Linked DNA regions of Nothobranchius furzeri. The protein of the gene in region 1 binds, or shares a complex with, the protein of each later gene. Links are inferred from orthologs where the notes say so. Each region holds a gene or a part of one and is shown on either strand. Other genes may lie near its edges.

What was found. The genes of interacting proteins can lie anywhere in the genome.
Region 2: taf8 (region 1) and taf13 share a complex: the UniProt entries of both Homo sapiens proteins name them as parts of the TFIID basal transcription factor complex. The link is inferred for Nothobranchius furzeri from reciprocal best matches to the Homo sapiens genes TAF8 and TAF13.
Region 3: taf8 (region 1) and taf11 share a complex: the UniProt entries of both Homo sapiens proteins name them as parts of the TFIID basal transcription factor complex. The link is inferred for Nothobranchius furzeri from reciprocal best matches to the Homo sapiens genes TAF8 and TAF11.

The regions. Positions count from the first base shown.
Region 1 is NC_091755.1:40,693,866-40,699,956, forward strand, and holds the start of taf8 (transcription initiation factor TFIID subunit 8), read left to right. Parts: upstream 1-2,608; 5' UTR 2,609-2,736; coding exon 2,737-2,784; intron 2,785-2,965; coding exon 2,966-3,119; intron 3,120-4,179; coding exon 4,180-4,278; intron 4,279-4,365; coding exon 4,366-4,428; intron 4,429-4,550; coding exon 4,551-4,675; intron 4,676-4,786; coding exon 4,787-4,934; intron 4,935-5,017; coding exon 5,018-5,160; intron 5,161-5,951; coding exon 5,952-6,091. Other genes in the region: g0s2 (G0/G1 switch protein 2), read left to right, coding at 1,225-1,367, 1,455-1,827. UniProt on the Homo sapiens protein: The TFIID basal transcription factor complex plays a major role in the initiation of RNA polymerase II (Pol II)-dependent transcription.
Region 2 is NC_091755.1:48,193,046-48,197,869, reverse strand, and holds taf13 (transcription initiation factor TFIID subunit 13), read right to left. Parts: upstream 2,579-4,824; 5' UTR 2,464-2,578; exon of another isoform or gene 2,457-2,463; intron 2,391-2,456; 5' UTR 2,344-2,390; coding exon 1,969-2,343; 3' UTR 1,679-1,968; downstream 1-1,678. Other genes in the region: slc35c2 (solute carrier family 35 member C2), read left to right, coding at 3,821-3,931, 4,106-4,256. UniProt on the Homo sapiens protein: The TFIID basal transcription factor complex plays a major role in the initiation of RNA polymerase II (Pol II)-dependent transcription.
Region 3 is NC_091755.1:54,207,668-54,213,902, reverse strand, and holds the start of taf11 (transcription initiation factor TFIID subunit 11), read left to right. Parts: upstream 1-2,257; 5' UTR 2,258-2,447; intron 2,448-4,487; 5' UTR 4,488-4,518; coding exon 4,519-4,695; intron 4,696-5,532; coding exon 5,533-5,663; intron 5,664-5,736; coding exon 5,737-5,824; intron 5,825-5,904; coding exon 5,905-6,001; intron 6,002-6,072; coding exon 6,073-6,203; 3' UTR 6,204-6,235. Other genes in the region: nemp1 (nuclear envelope integral membrane protein 1), read right to left, coding at 929-1,050, 1,391-1,502. UniProt on the Homo sapiens protein: The TFIID basal transcription factor complex plays a major role in the initiation of RNA polymerase II (Pol II)-dependent transcription.

The sequences.
Region 1 (6,091 bases):
CAGACCATAGGTTTGTTTTCATGCATTGATCTGTTTTGCTGATCAACCAGAAGCTTAATTTAAATTTAGTCTGCAAGATTGCTCTTCTGTCACCTGGCAGGAGGTAATCACGTGGCAGGAAGAGTTCTGTTCCTTTATGGTTGGAGGATATTTATTCACTTGAATACTTTTTATATTCTGTGGCCTAAAGATGGAGGCTGGGATTCAGAGTAAGGTGACACCACTTCTATTGTTTGCGTTGCATTATGTTATTGTTTACAAACTCCTCACTGCGTGTTCCTTGTAGCTTGTTGACTCTGTCAATCAATATGACAACTTTGACCACTGCATCCAATTTGATTTGCTCTATTGAATGAGATATCCCGTATTGATGCTTTGATCTGAAAGTGATTATGTGTGGAACAGAATTAATTTCATCACGTATTCCAGTCTGACGCCATGGAGGCAGTCTCTGTCCACAGACTGGCTGGCATCACGTCTTTGGACCCGTTAGCATGCCTTCGGCTCCAACTGGACTAAACGGTAGTGGGCCAAGTGTGCACCGTCTACTGAGCAGACGCTGATCCAGCTCTGATGTGTCTCTGACGTGCAGACCTTTTCTCTGAGTGTTCGTGACACATGTCCCTCTGTGACAAAGATCAGACACATTTCCCAACTCACTCCCCCGACTTCACCCTTCCCGCTCGTGCAGCATGATCTGGGTCGAAGGGCAGTCGGTTTGAAACCGAGCAATCCCCCTGCAGGCTCTTGCCCTCTGTCGGTCAGACGGTTTGCAGGAGTGCAGGAGCCAGAGCAGCCCAGAGCTGCATGATTGGGGGGTGGAGGTGGATCTTATCTTCGTATGGAGCTTATCTGTCACAGTTCAATAAGGGCTATTCCAACCAATGCAGCAATCTGTCAGACAATAAATGGGCGTGGTTGTTCTTGGTTTCCAACACTTTGATTGGACAACTTTCAAGCTCTGGTGAGGAAGGCCAATGTGCATGGTTACAAATCACACAATGTAAACCAACCACTCAGACTTCAGTTTGTATGCTCATTGATGGGTTTTCCAAAACTATTTTCAGTGACTGTGCACTCACTAAACAGTTGTTTACTGTATGTGCTGCACATCATGTGTGATGTTACACGTATGGGGAGTGTTTGTTCAACTTCTCTTCCCCACAAACCCATGCCCTTTGACACAAACACGTGCTAATCTCTGTAAAAGGTGGCCTCATAAATATGCATGGTCTCTCCTCTGTTGTGGGAGGAAACGCGGCTTCGGCTGTATTTAAATGGGAAGTCTGCTCCAGCCTCTCCACCTGCGAATGCCTGATCGTGCCAAACACTTGGGAGAAATTCACATTTTTGACGTCTGCCTTAGAGTGAGTATCATTCATTAGCCAAATGTCTTTGTGATAATTGTTTTTTCCACAAAAGAACACTACATTAAACTATTATTTTTCTTCCAGCAGAATCATTGCATATCAGAAAATGGACAGCACCAACGAAATCATCCTTTTTGCCAAGGAAATGCTGAGACAGAAGCCCAGCTGGAGCATGCTTAAGATCTACATGCTCGGCTCGACTCTGGCGATGATCGGGATGGTCGGTGGTGTGGTGGAGATGATTCTCCAGCCCTTTTTAGACAATCACAGCCCAGGGGAAGAACAAGCAAAGTTCTACATCGAGATGAATAAGGAAAACAGTACGAGCAAATCAGACTCTGCCACAGTTCATGCCGAAGTTGAGGACATGATGGGAGCAGTATCGTTTGGAGCCAAGACTAAATATCTGGGGACATCTATCCAGAGAAGCTCAGCCAACCGCTTACATGCTTCTTAAAGAAACACTCCACACCACTTAAAAGGACAAAGATATACCAGTATTGTTGGTGGTGGTGGTGGTGGTAGCCTGCATTACCAAATCAAGCAGCTCATTTTTTATTCTTTAATTTATTTCAGATATGGTTAAATGTGTAGTTTTTCTTAGCTGGTGGCTAAAACTTAGCTGAAATGTTACAATAAAAACTGCAGGATACAGTTTAGTAATGCTGCTGGGCAGCAGGTTCCAATGGCTGACATGCACTGGGTGTCTATGGAGCTCATGAAATGCCATTCGTGTCATTCATTTTGTACTTAAATAAACATTTTTTCTGCTCGCAGAATTTTGGCCCTAATTTAAAGCGCCCACAGATTCAGATTTATTCGACTTTAACGGTAGAGGTTTAAGCTTTATGCATGAGGAGAATTTTATTGAGTAAAACAAAAAGTAATGTGTATTTAGCACTGTTCGCAGAAAAAATATCACCAAGGGCTTCACAAATAAAAACTGTAAACACCGCATACAACCTGTGTAAAAATGTGCTCGTAAAAACAAAAGAACATAAAATAAGGTATAAAAAAATTCTAACGTAATGTGTTTTCAGCTGTTTCTCAACACAATCTTTTCAATAAGAGCACAAGGACAGAGCTAAAGTGTGGGAGCCACTGCTCGAAAGGCCCGACCACCTCTGGTAACCAGTAAGCAGTAAAACTGGGGAGATGTGCGCCCTTACTGGTACGTTATGTCAGCAAATAGCCACTAGATGGCAGAGTGAAAGACTCTAATACTCAATTTCACTTCCGCAACAAAAGCGGAAATTACGTCATAGTATGAGCTGTGTTTACAATCGACGGTGAAGCGGTTTCTGGATAAGTAGAAATAGAAGAAGAATTGCATTTGTTAGAGAAGGAAACCTGGAGCTAACCTCTTATGGCGGATCCAGCGGTAGTATCGGGAGGGTCGCTGCCCTCCTGCGGGGTAAGAGATGCTTTTTAGGGCATTAGAACGCGCCAGCTAGCTTACAAGCGCCTCTCATCGCCACAGTTATTACTACTGTAAATAAACATGTTGGTCCTTGGCACGAGCAGTAGTATTTCGATAGATATTTACATTAAGCTAGCACCTTACAACGCCAGGGTTTGTGTGTGTGCTCTTTCAGCGTGGCGCTAAAGCGGCTTCCAGCGCCGCGGAGAACTACCAGCTGGCCCGCCGTCGCACCCTGCAGGTTGTTGTCAGCGCCCTGCTGACCGAGAGCGGCTTTGAGAGCGCAGAGAAGGCCGCGGTGGAGACGCTCACGGAGATGATGCAGAGCTGTAAGTGTTTACAAACAGTAGCTTCTGTCCGCTGAGCACGAGCTTCCAACACCAGGTTAAGGCTATTCAGATGAATGCATGTTTACGTCTAAACTTCACTTGATCTAATCAGTCTAGGTTAGTTTAAAGAGCAAGTCACCCCCAAATCAACTATTTTTTCTGATAAACTATATAAATGCGTGTCTAATCGTGCTGCAGACACGTGTGGTCAATAGTTTTGCACTTTAGTGCATTTTAGTTAAAATTTAAATTTTCTGCCTTAAACTGTCAGTGTTGTGCCGTTGTCAGGTAAAAACTCTTCACTGCATTTGAATTTAAATCTGCCACCGCTATTGGCTAAGAGGTATGCTATGATGTAAACTGGTACATTATGATGTCACAATGTCGTGCGTGTGTGTATTTGTTAGTGGCTCCACCCTCTCGGTCTGCTAGGCAACAGCATTTGTTGCATTTTTCAAACATGAAGTGGGAGTGGAGTACGCTTCTTGTAGGGGGTGACTTGCTCTTTAAAGAGCCTCCGTCCTCTATGTTTCAGCTGTTTCTGCTCCATCTGGGGCCCCATTTATAAACAAAACCGGGTCTGAAAACCGCGTGTGTCACTTTCCACGCACATTTATAAAGAAAACCTGACAGGAAAATGCGCACAACTTTAGGCAAACCCCTGTGGAGTCAGGGAAACTAGCAGCACAGCAGGTGAGATGACAAATGGTGAATTCAAGCCGCATTTGGACCCTCGTGTCTGCGCACGCACACACACAAACACACACAACCACAGTCAGCTCCCTCACCCGTCTCTGAATAAATAAAATGAGAACTTAATAAAAAATATGTCGCTGTTAAGAGATCACAATGTGTTCAAATGAACGTCTTCAACCGGAGTCACGTCCAGCGTTTAAAGAAGTTAAATAAGAACTAGTGACTGCAGGTTATGACTCTGAGAGCTTCTATCCACTACTGTGTTGTACGATTGGTGCTGGCCTTTGATGAGGTATTTGTTTGGTTGTTTAAAAGCGTGCCTGTAGAGTTTTTGAAATACTAATGGTATCATTTTCCTGTAAAGATATAAGTGAAATAGGTCGTTGTGCCAAAGCATACTGTGAACACACGGCCAGGAGCGTCCCAACCCTCTCTGACACGGTGGTCACACTCATTGAAATGGGTAAGACTGAAGGTGCATCAGCATGGTGACATGTTTTTTTTTTACTGTGAACACACTCCTAATCGGTGATTGTTTGTCCTTGGAAAGGTTTTAATGTCGACACTCTCCCCGTGTACGCCAAGCGGTCACAGAGGATGGTCATTACAGCTCGTAAGAAACAAAACCTGACATTTCTGCTGTTAGAGCTGTGATGATACCCTAGGATATCAAGTAACGAGTCACGGTTGTAGGCTAGTTTTAAGTTCTACATGTTTGTATTTCCTGATTTTTAGCTCCAGTCACGAACACACCAACAACACCTAAATCCCTGTCAGCTGGGCACAAGCGCACTCACCCACCTCATATTCCTAGCCACTTCCCAGAGTTTCCGGACCCTCATACCTACATCAAAACACCTGTAAGTTCATCAACATAATCTCCATAATAGCCCTATAAAACCACGTTCACCCCCATAGTGGGTGATGTTGCATAAACAGGTGTTTTGCGAGGCTCTCCTTCCTTCCCTCAGACATTCAGAGAGCCTGTGTCCGAGTACCAAGTGGTGAGAGAAAAGGCAGCGAACCAGAGGAGAGACGTAGAACGGGCCCTCACACGCTTCATGGCCAAAACTGGAGAAACTCAAAGCCTCTTCAAAGACGACGTCACGGCCTTCCCATGTGAGGGATCCCGACTGTACATTACCCGTCAGATTGTGTGTAACCCTGTGCATTAATACAGAATAACACATTGCTGTTGTTAGTGATCGCAGCTCGGCCAAGCACCATCCCATATCTGAGCGCCCTCCTGCCCTCGGAGCTGGAACTGCAGTCGCTGGAGGAGACGGACTCCTCTGAGCAGGACGACCAGACCGACAGCGAGAACACAGCTGGAAATATGGTGACAGTAAGTCTTCACAGCTGGGAATTGGTGCCAGGCGCAGTAGAGTAGTAGTAAAAATAACTTTTTGAAGGTGCCATTCTGAAGGTCTAAACTAAGAGGAACAGGGCAATAAAAAGCAGCACTTAGGATTGAAACAGAGAGAGTCGCAGCTACACTGCGGAGTGTGTTAGAACGGTTAGGAGTAATAGGAAGGATAAGGCGCTATCCAAAATAACACAAGAGCTCTTTATTGGTACTAGTGTGGTGTTAGTGGAGTAATCAACAGAGATACGTTTCTGCGATTAGCCAGGGATGGTTCAGTGTCCAGAAGAAGTTTGATCTGAAATGAACTTAAAACAGTTGGAGGCAAACCAGTCTCTGATTTCAGCAGCAGACCTGCCAACTTGTACGCAATCTGGCATCTATTTACGCTGGTACGACTCACCCCTCTAAACTACCTGAGTTGAGTTCTGTGGCGAATATGCACGTGTGGTACTCATGTCTGACTCAGCGGCGTGGTGAAGAAGTTTAAGCCAATCATCGTAGAGAAGCAGAGAAAAGCTATCCTGCCTAACCTAGCGTAACACCCCCGCCCCCCTCCTCCCTGCTTCGTCCTGCCCGCTGCTCCTCTCTCCTGTGTGTGTGTGTGTGTGTGTGTGTGTGTGTGTGTGTGTGTGTGTGTGTGTGTGTGTGTGTGTGTGTGTGTGTGTGTGTGTGTTTGTCTTTATCCATTGCAGATAGATTTGGCCTGTATATAAGGAGGAATGTGATTATTTATACAGTTTAAACAAGCAGCCATTATTTTATTTTCGCAGCTCGTTTTGCAGCTCATGCTACGGCAGATGAGGGAGAAGCGGACAGGGAGGGATTGGTTAGCAGACCTGCCAAACAGAAGAGGATCCATGTGTCTCACAAGTTTTTGTCCAAATATCAAGAACAGTGGCCATGCTTGCGA
Region 2 (4,824 bases), about 7.5 Mb from region 1:
GACATTCCTCCACCCTCCTGTGAGACCTCTGTCTGAACACATCTGCACCAACCTTCGCCCTGCCTCCACCTCTCTGACCCGAATAAGCACCCACACACTCCCCTTGTTGTCCACCTGGTTCACTGCCTTACCTCTCCATCCTTGTAGCCTTGCAGACATCCTCAGCAGGGCACCTGGTGGGGGTCGCCGGCTGAGCTGACTCCCTCTGAAGGCAGACAGCAGGCTACCGATGCTGTGCTGACACTGGACCCCGCCACCGGACAGCAAAGCTGCAATGAGGAAATTCAGTCAACACCTTCTGCTGATTGCTAGGCTTGGTGTCTTCATCGACCCCCCTCTTTGTGAAGTTCTGATCCAGATGTAGTCTAGATAGAAGGGCAGCCTGTGACCTGCTGCTTAGACCAATTAATTCAATTTCTTCACTGTAAAAAGAAGCTTGAAAAGAATAAATGAACTAACACCTGCTCACTTGTAGTCGGTCTGTCATATTTATGGTCTGTGTAAAAAGTACTTTGTTTTTGAGGAATTTAAATAAAATGCCTTTGTTTCTTCATTTTGTCACCAGATTTTGTGTTATCCAAACACACACTTAAGTCTCATCTGGTGTGAGGAGAACCCAGACTTGGTGTTTGGTCCGTTTCTGGGTTCAGATTGAGAGACCATGAAGGTTAATTCTCAGTTCAGATACATAAATGTTTATTATTTAAAGAATCAGTTGATCTAAATACAAGAGAAAATAAAAACGACGTCCAGTTGTCCTGAGGTTGGTGTGATGTTACGCTCCAGCAGCTCTTCAAAGCTGTTCTTTTATTTGTGTTTGTTTGAACTCAAAGAAATCTTCATAAACTAGAACATCTGCACGTTTGTGAGCCAGCCAGGGTCACAAACATGCAGGTGTGAAATGAACCTCGAAGCCTGGATTGGACCTTTTTCTTCATATGAGACAACACTGAAGTCCAGCAAATATATAAATAACAGATCTGACTATTTCTGGGTTAAAGGTTTCTGAAAAACACTCTGATTGGTTGTACTTCAACACTTGATGGCTGTTGACGCACACTTCAAAGGAAGCGTTTAGATCCTTTGAAGTGTTCTGTGGAAATGTTATGAGCGATTAACTGTAGATATATCTTTGAATGGCATAACTGGTTAGTTCTGATTGAACAGATGAGTGAACATTATTACAAAATGCTTTAACCCTTTGATGCATGAATTATGAAATCTTCAACCATGATTTTTTTCATTCGTCTTTAGGTGTGAATGAAACAAATTTCAACAAATATATATTTTTTTTATAATTTACAAATAATTTATTACATGTCCACCTCAGTGGGCAGCGTGCATTCTGAGCATGAAACATGTTGGCTTGACTTACTGAAGTCCAAATGGAGGGGCTCAAATGCCATCAAGTCTTCAACAGCTGTGCTTTGTGCAAAAACAAATAAATAACAATTTTGAGTACCTGTCCACTGTAGTGACCATTATGCATCAAAGGGTTAACACTCACAATTATGAAATCCCAGCCAGATGTGCCACAGCAGGTCATCTCTTCTGCAGACAGCAACAAAGTTAGGAAACTAACGACATACGGGTACATTTAAGGTGTAAAAACTCTAATTTTAAACTGCAGAAACACCTGATATACCACAAAAGTCTCTCCAATCCAAACAGCAGGAAAGATAATGAAATGTTAATTTATTCACGCAGTTTCCATGGAAACACTTAAAAAAACCTTAACAATCCTTTCCAACACGTTGGCAGAAAGTTTCATTCTTCAATGTAAATAACAGATGTTGGTTTTCCTGTTGGTGTTGGGACTTATTTGAAACAAACTAACTTTATTTGAGAGTTTCCGATGACTTGACAGTGTAAACATGTCATTAAAACAGTCAGTTCTGTTATTCAAGTGAGAACCACTAAAAAATACACAAACCAGTTAGCAGGAAGCGACAAACAAACGCGAGTTCATTAGGAGCCGTAATTGGCTTCATCAAAAGCTTTCCGGGCTCTCTTCAGCTCCTCGTTCATGGTCAGGAGGTCTTTGACTCTGGCGAACTTTCTGGGATCCTTGCGAATTAGAAAAACGATGTCCTCCACCTGGACGCGGCCCTGGCGCCCGATAGACATGGCTTTGTGGGTCATTTCCGTGATGAACTCGATCACCAGATCCTCCAGAATATCCACAGACTCCGTGTACGGGTTCTGGTCGTCTCCAAACCCGTACATCATGCACCGGAGCTCCTTAGAGAAGAGTCTCTTTCTCCTGCCGTGGCCGACATCCACTCCGCTGGACCCGTCCTCCAACTCCTCCTCGAAGCCAGCCTCGTCCTCCTCGTCCGCCATTAATTCTGGAGGAAAACGCCGATAAAACGAGCCTTAACGACGCTTTACTGTAAGATAAACCTCACACTTACAACATGCAAACATCAAAATGCGTTTTAGAGAACAAAAATTACATTTTACTTTGAAAACTGGATCACAACAATCCCCAGACTCTTCTACGTTCGTTGTTGTTCTTCTTCTTTGGTATTTTTGGGCTTCAGCGTTTGACACGCCAACTTCAAATTGCATGACCGCCACCTACTGGACTGAGTTTGAAACGTCAGCGCAGATCTAATCTTTTGAATAAATTCTTGTTTAAAATCGAGATTGAAACGAGTCACAAATAAATAAATAAATAAACAAAATAAATTAATAAATATTAGAGCCATGAGAGTCACACTGACAGGCTGAATTCAACAAACGGAAAAAATAACGACTTCATATGTATATTAGGTTTATTTCAGATCTGCATCTATTCCAATTGTTTTCTTGAGTGTTTTTGTTTCTACTTAGCCAAACTATATCATGAATGATAATGAAGTTGAAGCTTTTTGGCGGTTTTTGTTTTCTGCTTCTCTAACCCAGCATGCATTTGTGAATAATGTGTCAACCTCCGTTGAAGGCGTAGAAGAAGAAACATAGCGGAAAGAAACACTAGCTCAAATATCTAGTGCCTTATTTTCTTTCTTTCTGTGCTCAGACGTGTACACAAGATCAGAACCGGTAAGAACTACACTAGAGTCGCTGGTTAGCTACTAAATGTTTCTATGTTAATGTTGTTAAAACGTTTAGAGATCCGAAAGTTGCGTTAGCTTAGCTGTCAGCTAACGGCTAAAGATAGCAACTGCTTGGTTGTGATGATTCTTCACAAGCCATCTGGTAAACCGGACACACTTTATATTATATCTAGATGTAAAGTAGGATGTGTGTGCTACGCCGTTCATCTCCACATGTCTCGTTAGCTGTTAGCTGTGTAGGCTAACGCTGTGGCTGTGGTAACACAGTCTTAATGACTTTTTGGTTTAATTTTATAGCATCTTCCAAATCCAAATCGCATGGTTCTTGGTCAGAATTATAATAAAGGTAAATAAAATACAATTTAACGCTCCTAGAAGTGAAGGGTTTTATTTACAACTCTCCTTAGTTGAGAACTTTATTTTAAAAAATAGTTTATTTTTAAGTTACATTAACAAGTCATGGCTGTCTGCTAGAGCTTGTTAAAGCTAGACCGGATGTGTCTTTCAGGTGTATAGGGTGAGGTCCCCCAGTCATTTCAGATAATCTAAGTTGAATTATATCTCACATATTTACATTATCTGTTGTAGATAAGGATGTTCTGTTGAATCCGAATAACATATCTCATATGTTTGTTGTTTTTCCCCTTAGGTCCTTATTCTAGTGAACCATTATGGGTGGTGTGGTGGGGTGCAGAGGTATTTTGGAGATGCTCCCTCTGCATTAACAGTCCATTCTGGACAGCTGGTCCTGGAAGTCCCGGATGGCGTGCCCAGTTCAGTTCCTCTTCAGAGGTCTTTGCACTATTGGACTGGTCCTCCTCTACTATGTCTTCTCTATAGGCATCACATTCTATAACAAATGGCTAATGAAGGTAAATGAGACCCATTCCCTTTCCCAGAGTGTTACTTTATTAGAGCTTCTTATTTGTTTCTTGATTGGTGCCCATCTTAATCCATATTATGTCTGTCTCCTGGAGTTATGGTTGCCATTTTTTTTTCCCAACAGCGGTTCTCGTTAATCCTGTCTACTATTTCATCTCACTCAGGGCTTCCATTATCCTCTGTTCATGACACTGGTTCATCTCGTCATCATCTTCTGTCTATCTTGTGTGACACGATGGGCCGTGCAGTGCTGGACAGGCAAACCTCGCGTCATCCTGAGCTGGAGAGACTACATCTTTAAGGTGGCTCCAACAGGTACATGGACTCAAATCCTTTGACTGTTATTCTGGGATTCAGAAAAGTGGGTGAAGGTCAAACATGAACAGATTGTCTCTATAGTGTTAAGCTGCAATAAACAAATAACCACAGACTAATATTGTCTGATTTTTCCACATTTATCAAAAGTGGGACTTCTTTCTAACAAAAAATGTGTGTATTTTCAGCATTTAACAGATGTCTTTACCTCTTAGAAAAATGTCTCTCACATCCTCACACTCCGATTAAAGTTGTCAGAGGTTGTTCCAGGGATTAAAGATTAAAAGTCCCATAGTTATCCCCAAGTCACACTGGTGTGGTGTGGTGAAAATTGTCCTCCGCATTTAACCCAGCTCACTGCTCCCCATGGGGATGAGCAGTGAGCTGCAGACACGGCAGCTCAGGAACTGTTTGGTGGTTTAACCCCCCAATCCAACCCCTTAAAGCTAAGTGTCAAGCAGGGAGACCTTTCTAAAGTCTTTGGTATGACCCGACTGGGATTTGAACTCCGACCTCCCAGTCCCTGGGCGGACACACTCCCACTAGGCCATTGAGCAGCATCTGTTGG
Region 3 (6,235 bases), about 14 Mb from region 1:
AGCATCCTAACCAATTACATGCTTGCAGTCTCCGTCACTTTCGACGGATATTTAAAAAGTTGGCTATGTCTCTGTCAGCCGCTGTTATCCCATTGGAGAGCCCTTACACCGACGTATAATGGCGTTGTGTGTCTCGGCACCCAAGCAGACGCAGAAGTATACATTATGCTTTGCACATTGGCACCAGAAGATTCTGGATGACGAGTGAAGACGAGTCATACTAAGTTAGTTGATAAGTAGATAAAAACATTTCACTGAAATGTTTGAGTTGTTGGTAGTTAAAAAAGTGGGTGGAGATTTTTCTAGAGCTGAATATTTGTTTCTAATTCACCATTAGCATTGTTAGCCCAACGTTAGCCTCTAGCCTTGTTTACCCAACATTAGAATAAAACAAAAAGATTCCGTGGCTTCTTTGGGGTACAAGAGAAAAAACCCTGGGCTGCTCCTGTTACCGGCTTAGCATCATTACAAAACGCTGCTGCGTATTGCAGCCGGTGTGGAATTACAAATGCCGGCACTGCAGCGTTATCCAGCACAGACTCAGTAACCCTGTGGGCTCACAGATTGTAAACAAAGACTGTGTCCCTTTTAGACCATTTTGAAAGGAGAAAAACTGACAACCTCCAGCCAGCTGAGAAGGAAATCTGATCAATGTAACCTTCCTTCCAACATAATTGAGACAGACTGTTTAGTGATTATTCCACTGTGAAATTCTTACACATTGTACCTTAAATATTAGCTGTATGTTGTTACTGAGTGATCGTGTTGAGATGTATAAATCTGGAAACTCTCTTTCCCTGTAGTTTGCTGTCTTCTTTTATTTTGAAACTATTTTAGATGCCATCTTGGCCAGGACTCAGTGGATCAGTGAATCTTATCACTTCAGTTAGAATAAAAGTTACATACAATAATAGTTCAAGAAACTCACCTGAATTCGTGTCCAAGTTTGCCTCCAAGTCGGCACTAGAGCATTTCTGTAGCAGAACCGGTTAGATCCTGACATGGTGAACTCTTCTCCATCCTGCAGATCAATTATTTGGGCTGCTTTCCCTGGATTTCACAAGCAGACATGTCTCTGGACTGGATAATCCTGTGAGATTATCATCTACTGCTAATTGTTAGAATGATTTATCTTTTGGATAAACCCAACTAATAGCTTATCCATGTGAAATGTAAAGGAATTGTACGAAAAGGGAATTGGGGTGATGTTAACTACTACATGTATAACCAACAGAATTAAAGAGGAACGTATGAAGCACCACTAAACTCACACAAGCAGTTTCACTTTGTGAAAGAAACAAGCTAACACTAATTAGCTGGATTAGCCTGAGTTAAAACACAATAAAGTAAGTGACTGTGTATTTTCCCACTTTGTAACACAGCTTCTTACCAGTACTCTGGAGTGAAGACTGGGGTAAACAGATAAAGAGTACAACGAAGACTAAAACTTTGGTTATTGCTGACTTGTAACAACAGTGTGTCGTTTTCACGCATCCCGCCATGGCCGTTCTACCTTAAGCTCCTCCCCTAACATCTACCACTTCCTTTTCCGTTTCTCGCGGCTCATTCCAGCCAATCACAGCGCTGGGTCGTCGTTGTTGTTGCACGTTAGCTTACGTTTGTTAAAGAGATAGTACGTTTTGTAAAAAAGAAGTATTATCTTACCTAAAGATAATTACTTCAAACTCCAGTTTCTAGCCTCATTGATATAAGGACGCTAACATGTTTTCTACTGATGTTTTACCCAATGACTAAAAATGACCAGAACCAACGTGTAGTTTCGGCTTTTCGCCACTAGAGGAAAGCAATTTACCTCTTCGTTCACAAAAAGCCAATGAAAAACTGAGTTTGAAGCAAGCTCCACACAGGCATCTTATCCAGGTAGATCCTTTTATAACAATTAAAGCCATTTTAAACCCGCTGTCGCATTTCTTATGTTACCCCTCCTTCACATTTTAACATCTCCTGTCGGGGACATAACAAAAGAGAAGGAGGAGGAGGATTTGAAGGAAATAAATCTGGATTAATACATGTAAAAGACTTCCTGAGTAGAAAGACTATCTAATTTCTTCCAAAGTCTGTTTTTTCCTTAAATGAAAAATATGAGCTCTATGCTGGTGGCAATAAACAGAACAGCACTATTTTACGTTCAAGATTCCCTAGAGTTTATGAATTCGCCTCATCAGCTACCCTCCAGTGCGGTAAGGGGCGACAACATTTTTTTTTTCCAAACGCCATTAACCCACGAAGAAGAAAAGGAAGAAGAAGAAGAAGAAGAAGAAGAAGAAAGAAGCGCTAGCTTAGCTTTTCACGTTTGTTGTGTGCTTTAACATATTATACAAATGTATCATGTTTAATCCACTTTCTGTTCACGGCTACCTAAAATACGTTTAAATTAGTTTTGTTGCTGCTTCCTGTGGTGTCGTTGAGCTCGTTCTGGCTTGAAGGTATGTATATGCTGTTATTTCTGTCGTGAAAATCCACCTTAACGGTAAATTTCATTTCTTTCTTTATTTAATAGGGACAGTGCATATTAATGAACTTCAACAATAAATTGCATCGGTAAATATGCCAGATTGTAGCACCAGTGCTAATTTACATCTGCAGTCCCTAGGCGGGTAATAAAAGCAATAAAAGAAAGTAAAGTATTGTATTTAAAACTAGGAAAAACAGAAAGAAAACACACAAAACACCACGGTGAGGACAAATTACTGATGGATACGGGTTTGGGTTTCCTGCAGCCATTGTTTGAATTTGAAGGAACTGCATGACTGTGAGTCACCTATGCTGAGTGGTAGACTATTCCAATATTTAGTCCAATATTTAGTTAGGATAGTGTGGTCGGGCCAAAAGCAGTGCGTCTGTAAGGCACCTCACAGTCTCCTCTATCTGTAGCCCTGGTCGACGTTCCACTGATAGACCGCGATTTATTACAATCTGTCAGTGGGAAAGGGGCTAGTCCATGTAAAACCTTAAAAAACAGGCAAGCATTCTTGAAGGTAACAAAGTTACTAAGATTAAGAAGTCTATATTTATCTAAAACAAAGCAGTGGTGGAAACTAAATGATTTCTTATCAAGGATTTTTATGGCTTTTAAAAAAAGGGATTCTATGGGTTTGAGTGTTGCACCAGCAGCAAGTGACCAGGAGGTTATACACTATTCCATGTGAGACAAAATCATAGAATGTAAAAATAACTTTGCAGCATGGAGTGAAAAAAGGTCTAACTTGTTAAAAAAATGACATTATAATTGACAGTTTTTTTTTAAAAGTTGTTTAATGTGATTCTTAAAAGTTAAGGTTGGGTCCAAAGTTAACCCAAGATATTTGAATTCTTTGACAATATCAAGTTCTACCCCTTCAAGAAAGATGTTTGATTTTTTTTAGTTCAATTGTTTGTTTTTTTTGGTGAAAAACATGCAAACAGTTTTTTTTTATGTTCAGCTTTAAGTGGGAACTCTTGACCCATTTTTGTACATGGGCCATGGTTGCAGTCAACAATTGGGAGGCTTCCTGAGGACGTTTAGTATCAGTAAAAATAACAGCATCATCTGCATACATTTGTATGTTTACTTTTGAACATACTTCGAGAAGATCATAAATATAAATGATAAACAAAATCGGCCCCAGAATACTGCCTTGGGGAACTCCAACTGGACAACTAATGTAGGAGGATTTATTGCCAAACAAGGACACATATTGTTTTCTGTCACACAGATAAGACTGAAACCAGAGCAGCGCCTCTGGTGAGAAATTAAAATGACTCAATTTGTTTAGAAGAATTTGATGATCGACGTGTCGAAAGCCTACTTGAGGTCTATGAACACAGCTCCTACACATGCATGCCTGTCAAGGAGACTTTTGACTTTTTCCACAAAGACACAATTTGCAGTCTCTGTGGAGTGGCAGTTACGAAATCCGAATTGCATTGGATGTAGGGATGTGTGTCCAAAATTTAAATATGCATTCAGTTGCTTTGCCACCCACTTTTCTGCAACCTTGGAGATAGTGGGGAGAATACTGATGGGCCGATAATTGGCCATTTCAGTTTCGTCAATTGGCGTGACTGCAGCTAGCTTCCATGCTAAAGGCACAACATTTTGTTTAAACGATAGAATAATTAAATGAGTTACCGGCTGAATTAGTGCATCTTTGTGCAGTTTTAAAAAATGGGTGTCGAGAGACCATATACATCCTTTGCCTTTGATTGGTTGCTGTCCACTTCTGTTATTTCTTCTATCCTGAAAACAGCATGACAAGGATTTACAGGATCAAAAACACCGTTAGACGGTGTGAATTGTTGAGTTATATCTCGAACTGTGTCAACAAAGTATTTATTCATTTCAGTAGCTATGATAAGAGGATCTTTCACCAGAGTATCATTTATTTTGATTTCAAGTTTATTAATAGCATATTTGGATTGTTTACCAGTTAATTGGTCTATATTTATCCAGATAAATTTATGTTGAGAACATTTTATGTTTGCAGAGGCTGAATCGTAGAGAGACGTCGAGAAACGATGGCAGATCCTGCTCGGATCAAAACAGAAGATTCTCTTCCGAAGACGGCAGCTTCTGCTATCGATGAAGAAGTAGTTAGGAAGGATCAACCTGAAAATGAACTCGTCTCAGAAAAACCTACAGAAGAAAATAAAGAACCGAGCGTGCAGGATCAGCCCACACCTCTGGTTAAAGCTGTGAGTGAAGCTAACCATAATGGTGCGCGGAAACATTGACAGGAGTTGATAGCTCTAAATAGTAAAACATGAATCTATAGAGAAGAGCCATAATTGAAGTTTCCTTACATTAAAACCTGTTTTAATTAAGATCAGCTTTATTTTAGCTGTGTTCTCAGGTGTGTAAATGTTTATGCTTGCATGAACAAAGTAGGTATCTTGTTACATCAAAGTGAAGATTTGTGGTGGTGGTGTGATGGTTTGGGCCTGATCCCCTGCATCTAATCCTGGACACATTATTACTAATAATAGGACAACTGGATATTTTATGTGTTTATATTTACAGCAGATAGAAACTTGTAGTTTGCTTAGACTCTTACGGGACATATTTTCTAATAAATAAATCAGTTTTGTGGTCATCATTAAACAAAAACCCACTATCTGGTACATGTCGCATAAAATGTGATTTCTGGTTTCATAAAACATCAGAGAACACATTTTTTGTTCAGGTGGTTAAACCAAATCACCCTTTAAGCCATTTGTTGTGAACTTTTTGCTCTTCTCCAATCTTTGTGTTAAACCTAAAAACGATAATTTAAGTACAAACAAAACACTTTGCTAAGGCCCGTTACCCCAAAATGAACAGTCTGTGTTAAGAACCCAAACAGTGTTTGTATAAAAGCAGCTAATGTAGTAACTGAACACTACGGTTCACTTTCTAAACCTGTGTGAAAATGTAGATGAAAGAGTTGTGTGTGCAGAAATCTGGAAAATTGAACAAATATTTATCAGTTTGGGCACTGCGGTTTAGTTGTGCCTGATTGTAGCATCACTCCACGTTTTTCTCCCTCTGCAAAGGAAACGACAGCAGGAGACGACGAGGATGAGGGAACCTCTGGCCAGCCTGCTTCTAAGAGGCTGAAGGTGGAGCCAGAGAAGAAAAAAGAGAAGCGCCACAAGGTCGATGAGGACGAAATACAAAAGATGCAGTAAGATCTTTGTACCTTCAGAGGTTCATCACTTCAGATCTTTAGCCAAAGATTAAACCCGCTTCTCCTTCAGAGTGCTGGTGTCATCCTTCTCTGAAGAGCAGCTGAACCGTTATGAGATGTACAGACGCTCTGCCTTCCCAAAAGCTGCTATTAAAAGGGTGAGCTGTTACATGGAAAACAGGCATCAGGGCTTTTTTCCCCCCTTAAACTAAAGTCTCTGATGTCGGTCTTTCTTTAGCTGATCCAGTCCATAACAGGATCGTCGGTGTCCCAAAATGTGGTCATTGCGATGTCTGGTATTGCCAAGGTGTTTGTTGGAGAGATTGTAGAAGAAGGTAAAGCGGAGGACCAATCAAACACAAACATGCCGTTCATTTAACTGAATTAAGAGTTCTCCCTTTTCCAGCTCTGGATGTTTGTGAGAAGTGGGGCGACACGCCGCCCCTCCAGCCGAAGCACATGAGGGAAGCCGTGAGGAGGCTGAAGACCCGGGACCAGATCCCGAACACCAAGTACAAAAACATTCTCTTTCACTGACAGGAGGAGGAAAATGGGGATTGAACTGTCCC